Linked DNA regions of Arabidopsis thaliana. The protein of the gene in region 1 interacts with the protein of each later gene in a pairwise test. Each region holds a gene or a part of one and is shown in the gene's direction. Other genes may lie near its edges.

The links.
Region 2: the proteins of GH9C1 (region 1) and KAI2 interact in binary tests that used the Arabidopsis thaliana proteins (3 or more experiments, as listed by UniProt).

The regions. Positions count from the first base shown.
Region 1 is NC_003070.9:18,100,933-18,106,399, reverse strand, and holds GH9C1 (glycosyl hydrolase 9C1), read left to right. Parts: upstream 1-1,631; 5' UTR 1,632-1,812; coding exon 1,813-2,025; intron 2,026-2,429; coding exon 2,430-2,843; intron 2,844-2,942; coding exon 2,943-3,029; intron 3,030-3,121; coding exon 3,122-3,286; intron 3,287-3,372; coding exon 3,373-3,660; intron 3,661-3,738; coding exon 3,739-4,066; intron 4,067-4,149; coding exon 4,150-4,200; intron 4,201-4,280; coding exon 4,281-4,618; 3' UTR 4,619-4,757; downstream 4,758-5,467. Other genes in the region: ENODL6 (early nodulin-like protein 6), read left to right, coding at 1-161, 243-592; NUC-L1 (nucleolin like 1), read right to left, coding at 4,978-5,006, 5,109-5,413.
Region 2 is NC_003075.7:17,615,995-17,620,510, reverse strand, and holds KAI2 (alpha/beta-Hydrolases superfamily protein), read left to right. Parts: upstream 1-1,854; 5' UTR 1,855-2,147; coding exon 2,148-2,515; intron 2,516-3,021; coding exon 3,022-3,466; 3' UTR 3,467-3,852; downstream 3,853-4,516. Other genes in the region: AT4G37480 (Chaperone DnaJ-domain superfamily protein), read right to left, coding at 1-794, 927-1,250.

The DNA.
Region 1 (5,467 bases):
GCTTTCGATCTTCGTATGTTTTTACGTGTTTTCACTTGTGTCATGTACTGAATTTGAAGCTGGAGGAGAAAATGGTTGGATCATTCCACAATCTAGTAACCAAAGTGACATCTTTAACCAATGGGCTTCCAAGAACCGGTTTAAAGTTGGCGACACTATCCGTAAGTTTTTCTTTTGCTTCTATTATGAATTTATGATCATCGTAATGCATATATTGAGTTTTGTTTTGATTTGGTGGAAAGGTTTCAAGTACAAGAAAGACTCTGTTTTGGTGGTAACAGAAGACGAATACAAGAAATGTCAGACGACCAAACCGGAACTTTACTCCAACCACGATGATACGGTTTTCAAATTGGACCGTCCCGGTTTGTTTTATTTCATTAGTGGTGTCTCAGGCCACTGTGAACAAGGTCAGAAAATGATTATTAAAGTCATGGAGGTGGAATCTACGCCGCAATCTCCTCCACCTTCCTCGTCTCTACCCGCTTCAGCTCACAAGAAAAACCACGCCGTGAGGAAAACGAGTCGGTTCTTAGGTGCCGGTTTAGTTACAATTTCGATTCTGGTTATTACGGTTTTTAGTCTTGTGTAGTATGGAAAACAATACCACTCGGTTATGGCGGTTCAGCCGTCGAGTTTTATTCCGGTTTAGGTTTTGTTGCTTAGTTTATTTAAGGTTTTTTTATTCATTTGATAGGTTGATTTGATTTTGGTTTTTGGTCACTTCAGAGCTTTAAAATAATTGAACTCATGTCTTATTTTATAAGTTTAGTATCCATTTTAATTCTATTAAATTCTAGGTTTATTGAAATACAATGTTTTTTACCTTTATCTAATTATAAACAAACAACTTTCAATTTTCTATAACAAAACAAAATCAAATATTTTGACAAATTTTCTAAATATACACTTTTTAGAAACATCTAATATTTTTTTTAGAAATTCAATAACCCTACTCAAAGAATCAAATCCAATAATGGAACACGAAATTATTTTGTTATATAAATTTTTATAACAAATTATGAAATTTATAACTCATTCAACCGAGATTGGGTCAACCCTATAACCTTATAAAATTTCCAATTAGCATTTTGCTCTAGCTATAAAAACATTGTCAAAACATGATCAAGTGATGCATCAAAATACATAGTTTGTAGTCCGGTCTAATCGCCCGAACCTAGTTTACCTATACATGGACTTTCTGTTAAAATAAACCGACAAAAGAAAACTATAAGTTATGGTCTTATGGACATATCAGAACACAAATCAATCGAGCGACAAATGAATTTTTTTTGCAAGAAGTGGATACCACGAATGGATTACTTGTCCGTTCACACCTTATCAAAAATCAACCAAATATTATTCTTTGTACCATTTTTAAAATTTTAAAACAAGATACATTCATCTGTTTCTATCAAATGCATTAGTCAATAACGCTTCCATCCAACGGCGAATAAGAGGTATACACGTGGTGAGGCATAGTTGATTCAGCTTTTATACACAAAAGTCTCGAGGAACAACGTGAGAAGCTCTAACAAAACGTGAAGGCCACAACTATTATCAAAGGCACATAAAACACACGAACACAAAAAAAGACAAAGACAATGATTATTCAGACAAGTTTCGTACCTATTTGATTCTCTACATTCCTCTCTCTCACACACCAAACTCACATACACAATCTCTCTCTCTTTCTCAACATGTCTATATAAATACACCCACGTCTATACTAACTCACATCATAGATTCACAATTTTGAACAAAGAAAATTTCTTTGGAGAGAAAACTTAGAACTTAGATTGACATAGAGAAATGAGGAAGTTTGGTGGATCATTGTTCGGCGTAAGCCTATTGCTGTCCGTTCTTCTAGCGGCAGCAACCGCGGCAGCGGAGTACTATAACTACGGAAGTGCTCTTGATAAGACCTTCTTGTTCTTTGAGGCTCAACGATCAGGGAAGTTGCCAGCTGCTCAACGTGTCAAATGGCGTGGCCCTTCTGGTCTCAAGGATGGTCTTGCTCAAGGAGTAAGTCCATATACACACAATGCTTGCAGTATAGTTGGTTAATACAATGGATCTCTTAATACATTCCAAAATTGATACTTCCTGATAAATACCATCGTATGAATTGCAAAACTAGTACCAAAATTACCACTTCTTCAACTAGAACATGTTGGCTAGTGTGGTTTGTATTGGTTCTGTTCTTGTATCACCATCTATAGGTTCAAACAGAAAACTTGTTGTTTGGAAAAAATAACACTTACTGGCATACAATATTTTTTTAAAACCTTAAATCTACAAGGTATTGTTGTCACTTGTCATCAGTACAAAGATTTAATTTGTATGAAACCTTGACGTACTAATTCCAATAAAGAAAATATATGAAGTAATAAAATGATATTGAGGTTTGTGTATGTATGAATGAATAGGTGAGCCTGGAGGGAGGATATTATGATGCTGGAGACCATGTGAAATTCGGTTTACCAATGGCTTTCGCAGTGACGATGCTATCGTGGGCAGCGGTTGATAACCGGAAAGAGCTATCCAGTTCGAACCAGATGCAACAGACATTATGGTCAATCAGATGGGGTACTGATTACTTCATCAAGGCTCATCCTCAACCAAATGTTCTATGGGGTCAAGTTGGAGATGGAGAATCAGACCATTACTGTTGGGAACGTCCCGAGGACATGACCACTTCAAGAACAGCTTATAAGCTTGACCCGTACCACCCTGGCTCGGACCTAGCCGGTGAAACCGCTGCTGCTTTAGCCGCTGCTTCCTTGGCTTTCAAGCCATTTAACTCCTCTTACTCTGCTCTTCTCTTATCTCATGCCAAAGAGGTTCGTTTGTTTTTTGTTCAACTCCTCTTACTTTGGTTTATGAATCCGGTTCGGTTTAGATTCTCAACATTTTTGAAACTTTGTTTTTGTATATTTTAGCTCTTCTCATTTGCTGACAAGTACAGAGGACTATACACAAATTCTATCCCAAATGCAAAAGCTTTCTACATGTCATCTGGTTACTCGGTATATATATTCTCTCAACACTTTCATTCTCTAATCCTTCCATTGAATCTTGTTCCACTACTAAAATGTCTCTCTTGTGTATTTCTTTGAAGGATGAGCTTCTTTGGGCTGCAGCTTGGCTACACCGCGCCACCGGGGATCAGTATTACTTGAAGTATGCTATGGACAATTCCGGTTACATGGGAGGAACTGGCTGGGGGGTGAAAGAGTTCTCTTGGGATAACAAATACGCCGGTGTTCAAATCCTTCTCTCCAAGGTAAACTATAGTTTTGTTAAAGAATGTTCTTCACGGTTTCAAAAATACTACTAATCATGGTACTTGTTTGATTTGTGTGTGTATAGATCTTGTTAGAAGGGAAAGGCGGTATATATACTTCGACATTGAAGCAATATCAAACCAAAGCTGACTACTTCGCTTGTGCTTGCCTCAAGAAGAATGGTGGCTACAACATTCAAACAACTCCTGGTGGTTTAATGTATGTTAGAGAGTGGAACAATCTGCAATATGCATCCGCGGCTGCGTATCTTCTCGCGGTTTATTCAGATTATCTCTCTGCAGCAAATGCTAAACTCAACTGCCCTGATGGTTTGGTGCAACCTCAGGGGCTTCTTGACTTTGCTAGATCTCAGGTAATGATCAAATCCTCCCAAGAAACCGAAAATTTTTCTCGTTCTTTTCAATCCGGTAACCGAGGTTTTCCTTTGCAGGCTGATTACATTCTTGGAAAGAACCGTCAAGGAATGAGTTATGTAGTTGGATATGGACCGAAATATCCAATCCGTGTTCATCATAGAGGCTCTTCAATCCCTTCAATATTTGCTCAACGTTCTTCTGTGAGTTGTGTACAAGGATTTGACTCTTGGTATAGAAGGTCTCAGGGTGATCCTAATGTTATTTATGGAGCTCTTGTTGGTGGACCTGACGAGAATGATAACTATTCCGATGACCGCTCAAATTACGAGCAATCAGAACCAACATTGTCAGGAACAGCTCCACTTGTTGGCCTATTCGCTAAACTCTATGGAGGAAGTTTAGGTAACTAAACAATAAACCTTGAGCTCAAAGTCTTTAGCTTTACCCTTATGGAATCATAAAGTAATGTAATGAACATTTTGTAGGATCTTATGGAGGAGGATCATATAAACCTTATGAAACTACAAAACCAGCAGGTTTGATCTTTTTTACTTGCAGCTTCCAATGCAACTTTTTCTACAGTGTCTGATTCTCATTTCCTCTAAAACTGTCACAGCTTCATCTTACAAAGCAACACCAACAACATACAGTCCAAAGCAATCAGGTGCACAAATCGAGTTTCTTCATTCCATAACTAGCAACTGGATAGCCGGGAACACAAGATACTATAGGCACAAAGTGATCATCAAAAACAATTCTCAAAAACCAATATCAGATCTCAAGCTTAAGATTGAAGATCTCTCAGGACCTATCTGGGGTTTAAACCCAACGGGACAGAAGTATACTTACCAGCTTCCTCAATGGCAAAAGACTTTGAGAGCAGGACAAGCTTATGATTTTGTCTATGTACAAGGTGGCCCTCAAGCTAAAGTCTCAGTTTTGAGTTACAACTAGTGAGAAAACAACACTTTCTTCAATCTTTTTGTTTATGCTTATTATGAGTGAAAGATGTGAACATAGCCAACCAAGTTGAGCCTAAATATGAGAAATGTAAATTTGTGACCCTTGGTAGAGAATGCTTTTTTGTCTACCTATTCATATGGCCCATACTTAGGTAAAATAAGTAATGATAGACGAAGATAACAATGATTGAACACCCAAAGCACTCAAAATTGAGCTTAACTTAACATTCAGACAAAAATTTAAGGTTCTGACAGAAACTTAACTAGAACAAAAAAGAAACGAAACAATAAAAGGATGCGAAGTATCATAAGTTAACAACATAAGAAGAGACTTTTCTTCTACAGACGCTTCTACTCGTCACCGAAGGTAGTCTTCTTACCTGCAACATATATTGCAAAGCCAACATAAACCCAAGAATTAGTGACATGTTAACTTGTTATAAAGAAGCTAGAAAACATGAATCAAGAACAATTTATCTAACCTTGGGGAGTAAAACTAGGTCTTCCACGACCACGATCACTTCCCCTGCCACCACCACTACCAAAACGACCACGACCTCCATCTCTTCCTCTGCCACCACCACTACCAAAACGACCACGACCTCCATCTCTTCCTCTGCCACCACCACTACCGAAACGACCATTGCCCCTTCCAAATCCACCACCACCACTGCTATCTCCTCTCGGTCTAGGCTCATCGACTACAAGATAGAATCCTCCTCCCATATCACTTCCATTTAGTTCCAACGCCTTCTCTTTGCCTTCTGAAAACTCAAGGTAAGCAATTCTGAGGAGAAAAAAAACATTAATTTAGTTAGCACTTAACTTTCAATAGAGAAAA
Region 2 (4,516 bases), on another chromosome or scaffold:
CCAAGACCACTTATAGTTCCAACAAGAAGTCTGGCACCACTTTCATTTCCCGGAGGCGATTCAGTGCCATGATTAGATCCTTCATCTGAATTGAGGAAAACGTGTATAAGATCGTGATCACCCTCAATTTGTTTCTTTTCATGATACCCTTTTGGGGGAACCCTAATGGCTGTAGCAACAACTCTTCCAGATACATGCAGCTGAATATCTTTATACGCATCAGAAACATGGTTTTTACTTCTTGAAGATTGTATATGAGATATCTGAAGACCAATCCTTTCAGCAGACATCATGTCATTGTTGCCTTTCTCAACTGCTTGACCAAGGTCCGAATCCATAAACGACGACAAAGCCAATTTCTTTGAGCAAGCAGAAGAAAGCTCAAGGAAGTTATCAACCAAGGAAACCATACCAAAAAGATCCCGTCCTGATACCAAATGCAAAACCTCTCGTGTATCATACACAGACCTTTCCTCAGCTTCAAAACAATCAGGAAGAAGCTCAACAGATTCAACATCAGGCCCAAAGTAGGCCGCTCGTATAGCTGAATAAAAATCTTCTTCAAGTTCATCTAAGTAACCAGTACCATTTGCTACTCTCTTCTCCAATACTATATCATGTATTGCTTCTCTATACCACTTTAACCATTCAACTACTTCCATCTCTTGACTCAATGTCAATCCTGTTTTATACCTGTGAATCATATAACCTTGTCCCGAGTGCTTCTTCATTACCATTCTCCGAGATAGCAAATATCTATCATAGTGTGCTCTCTTTTCAGAATCTGATAGAATCTGTATCATCACCACAAATCATTCATCAGACACTTCTAAAGCTATAACTCTATCACAAAAGCTTGAAAAGCTTGAAATTTTCGATTTTGAAACTAATCATAAGAGTGAAGAGTGAAGCTTTCTTCATTGTACCTCATAAGCAGCGAGAATCTGAACGAATCGTCTCGAATTTGATGGATCTTTCTTGGATTCGATCAGATCAGGATGAGTCTCCTTGGCGAGTCTGCGAAATGATGCTTTGATCTCTGCGATTGAGCTGGTTTCGGAGACATTCAAGATATCGTAAGCGTTCTCCACCGGAAACTCGTTCCGATTGGACTCAGCCTCGCCGCTCAGCAACCGAGTTCTTCCTTGACTCGGGTTAAAGAGAATTCGCGACGGTTCGAAACCGTAATTCAGTTGAACCGGAACTAATCTACTAAAACGCCGGCGTATCAACCCGGCGAGAATCGTCATTTCACGACCAGTATGGTTTACTCAGGTGGGAACGGAGACCGGAAGTGGAAAGAGGATAACGGCACGCCGATGACACGTGGGTCTCTCGATTTCACGCCACGTCATCACGAGTTCAGACTTTATTGGTCAACAGTAAAAACGGTCTTAGGAAAGAGAGAACATGAAGCCATATTACACTAAATGGGCCTTGAATTTTAATGGGCCAGGATCCTCTCACAGATATTTTTGACTCTTAAAATGATGAGGAAGTGGATGTGAATACGTGGTCGTATACTCACCATGGCATTCCATGAATAATTAATGTCTTCTAACTTCTAAATGATCGAAAAGTACTGACAAGTTAAAGTCAAGCAGAAAAAAACAAATATTATGAGGTTTTTAGATGCTATATTCATTGCAAGTTGTATACATGCGAAATTTAACTAGTGTTGTTAAAATAATAATTATATCAGCTTTTGACTATTTGCTGCCACTCTTTGAATGATTGAAACTAATTTTCTTTCGCATTAATGCATTGTTGAAATTCATGCACAAAATTAAAAATAATTGGTTCATGTATTTGTAACCCAATGTAACAATTTTATTGTTGAACAGAAGTCAGTAACTCCACGTCATGTACTCCATTAAATGTTCCAAAATATTTTGGGCTTGATTCCAAAAAACAAATTATCACGAATAGCGATGTTTGACAATCCAACAAACATGGTTCCATTCACCTTTTTTTGCCACCTGTAAATCGCGATATTTTAAATAATTTATTTCCTCTTCCACAGATACGAATTTTTTTATAAAGAATAATACGTAACACTCTAAAACAACACAAATATCATAATTTCTCCACGAACTGACTAAGAGAGGTACCAAGAAGAAAACCAGAGAAGAATCTTCTTTAGAGAGATGGGTGTGGTAGAAGAAGCTCACAACGTGAAGGTGATTGGTTCAGGAGAAGCCACGATCGTGTTAGGTCACGGGTTCGGCACGGACCAGTCAGTATGGAAACACTTGGTTCCACATCTGGTCGACGATTACCGCGTCGTCCTCTACGACAACATGGGAGCCGGTACGACCAACCCTGACTATTTCGACTTCGATCGTTACTCAAATCTCGAAGGCTACTCTTTCGATTTGATTGCAATCTTGGAAGATCTCAAGATTGAGTCTTGTATCTTTGTTGGCCACTCTGTTTCTGCCATGATTGGTGTCTTGGCTTCTCTTAACCGTCCTGATCTCTTCTCCAAAATCGTCATGATCTCTGCTTCTCCGAGGTATAACTTTTTCACAAGTTGTACATAGAAATATGTTTTGCTTTTTATCTCATCCTGACATAGTTTAGACAAAAGGGCTTCTCTGTTCCTTCTCTTGTCTGATTTCATAAAAACTATTAAACATTACAATTTAAATAAAAAAAAATCATCTTAAGTCCTTAAATTTACACAATTATCTATTATTTCGAAATATTTATTTCTCATTCTGACATAATTTCGACAAAGTGCCTCTTTGTTTATCCTCTTGTCTGAATTATCCTATTTCTCAAAATCAGTGAAGCATTTCATTATATATTTCAATAAAAATCCGTAAATTATGAACAAAAAATCATGAAATACCCATTTGTTTATTTGTTTTTTTTTATTTGGTTTTACTGAGGTGTTACTTACACTTTTTTTAAAAAAAATTGTTGAAACGGTGCTCACACAGTATATTATATATTTTAATTTTCTTCTGACAAAAGAAACATATATAATCAAATTATATTGTTTTGGTACGTTTATAGATACGTAAACGATGTTGATTACCAAGGTGGATTCGAACAAGAAGACTTAAACCAACTATTCGAAGCCATCCGAAGCAACTACAAAGCGTGGTGCTTAGGTTTCGCTCCACTCGCCGTCGGTGGCGACATGGACTCCATCGCCGTTCAAGAATTCAGCAGAACACTCTTCAATATGCGTCCCGACATAGCTCTCTCCGTCGGCCAGACCATTTTCCAAAGTGACATGAGACAGATCTTACCTTTTGTCACTGTTCCGTGTCACATTCTCCAAAGTGTTAAGGACTTAGCTGTACCAGTCGTTGTCTCCGAGTATCTTCACGCCAATCTTGGCTGTGAATCCGTCGTCGAGGTTATTCCTTCTGATGGTCATCTTCCTCAGCTTAGCTCACCAGATTCTGTTATTCCTGTCATCCTCCGTCACATTCGTAATGACATTGCTATGTGATTGTAAGAGATTTAATTAGTTAATTATTAAACGATGTAAGAAAAGTTGAAAAAAAATATCTGATGTGATATGTCTGTCTAGTCTATTGAGAACATTATTTCGTTGTCGTTTGGTTCTGATTCGTTTATCTTGAGTATCTTGATCTTTGTTGTTCTTATCTTGTTTAACGAAAAGTCTCTGTCTTTTGTCCACAGCTTTGCTCAGAGCTCATTATTGCTTGATGTAATAGTGATGTTCGTAATTGATGGTCCATAGTGAATTATTGCAACTTTGCAAGAGTGCTTGTGCTATACTGTGTGAAGAGTAATTAACATGTGATACTAGGAATTAGCATTGAGTTTGCATTTATGGATGGGTAATCCAAACCATAAAACATACATATTGTGATGGTTTTGAAATTTGTTTGTTTGTGAACAAAAATTAGCCAAGTTTTAAACAAAGTAAAATGAAAATTTAGGGTTTTGAATTAGGATGGAGTTAAGTCATATTTTGTTAGGTTTGTTTGCTTATGAAATTATGGATTTGTTTGATGTTATTATAGGGATGCGGTGCAAAAGATATTGTTTTCTATATTATCATTTATCACTAATAACTTTCAAATTTTATTGACGCGCCTGCTCAGATTTTATTCGATTTGTTGTTTATGAAATTAGTTATAGATTGGTAAGTAAATAGCTTTAAAAAATTAGTGATACAAAACAAAATGGTAAATATTGTATTGCTTCTTACTAGTCAATACTATGATTAAACTTCCATTTTATAATTCACTTTATATAAAACTTCTATTTATTTTCTTAAAATTATTTTATTATTGAAATTTAAATATCATTTGGTACAATATTATTTCTTCATCACTAGTCAAATACTATGATTAGCCTACCCAAAAAAAAAGTCAAATACTATGATTAAACTTCCATTTTTTTAAAATTCATTGCAGGTCATACAATTTAAATGTTTACATAGTCATGAAAGAATTGAGAACATATATATACTTCAAATTTGTTCTCCAATACAGTCACACACCTAACTTCAATTTGCTTAGAATTTCTT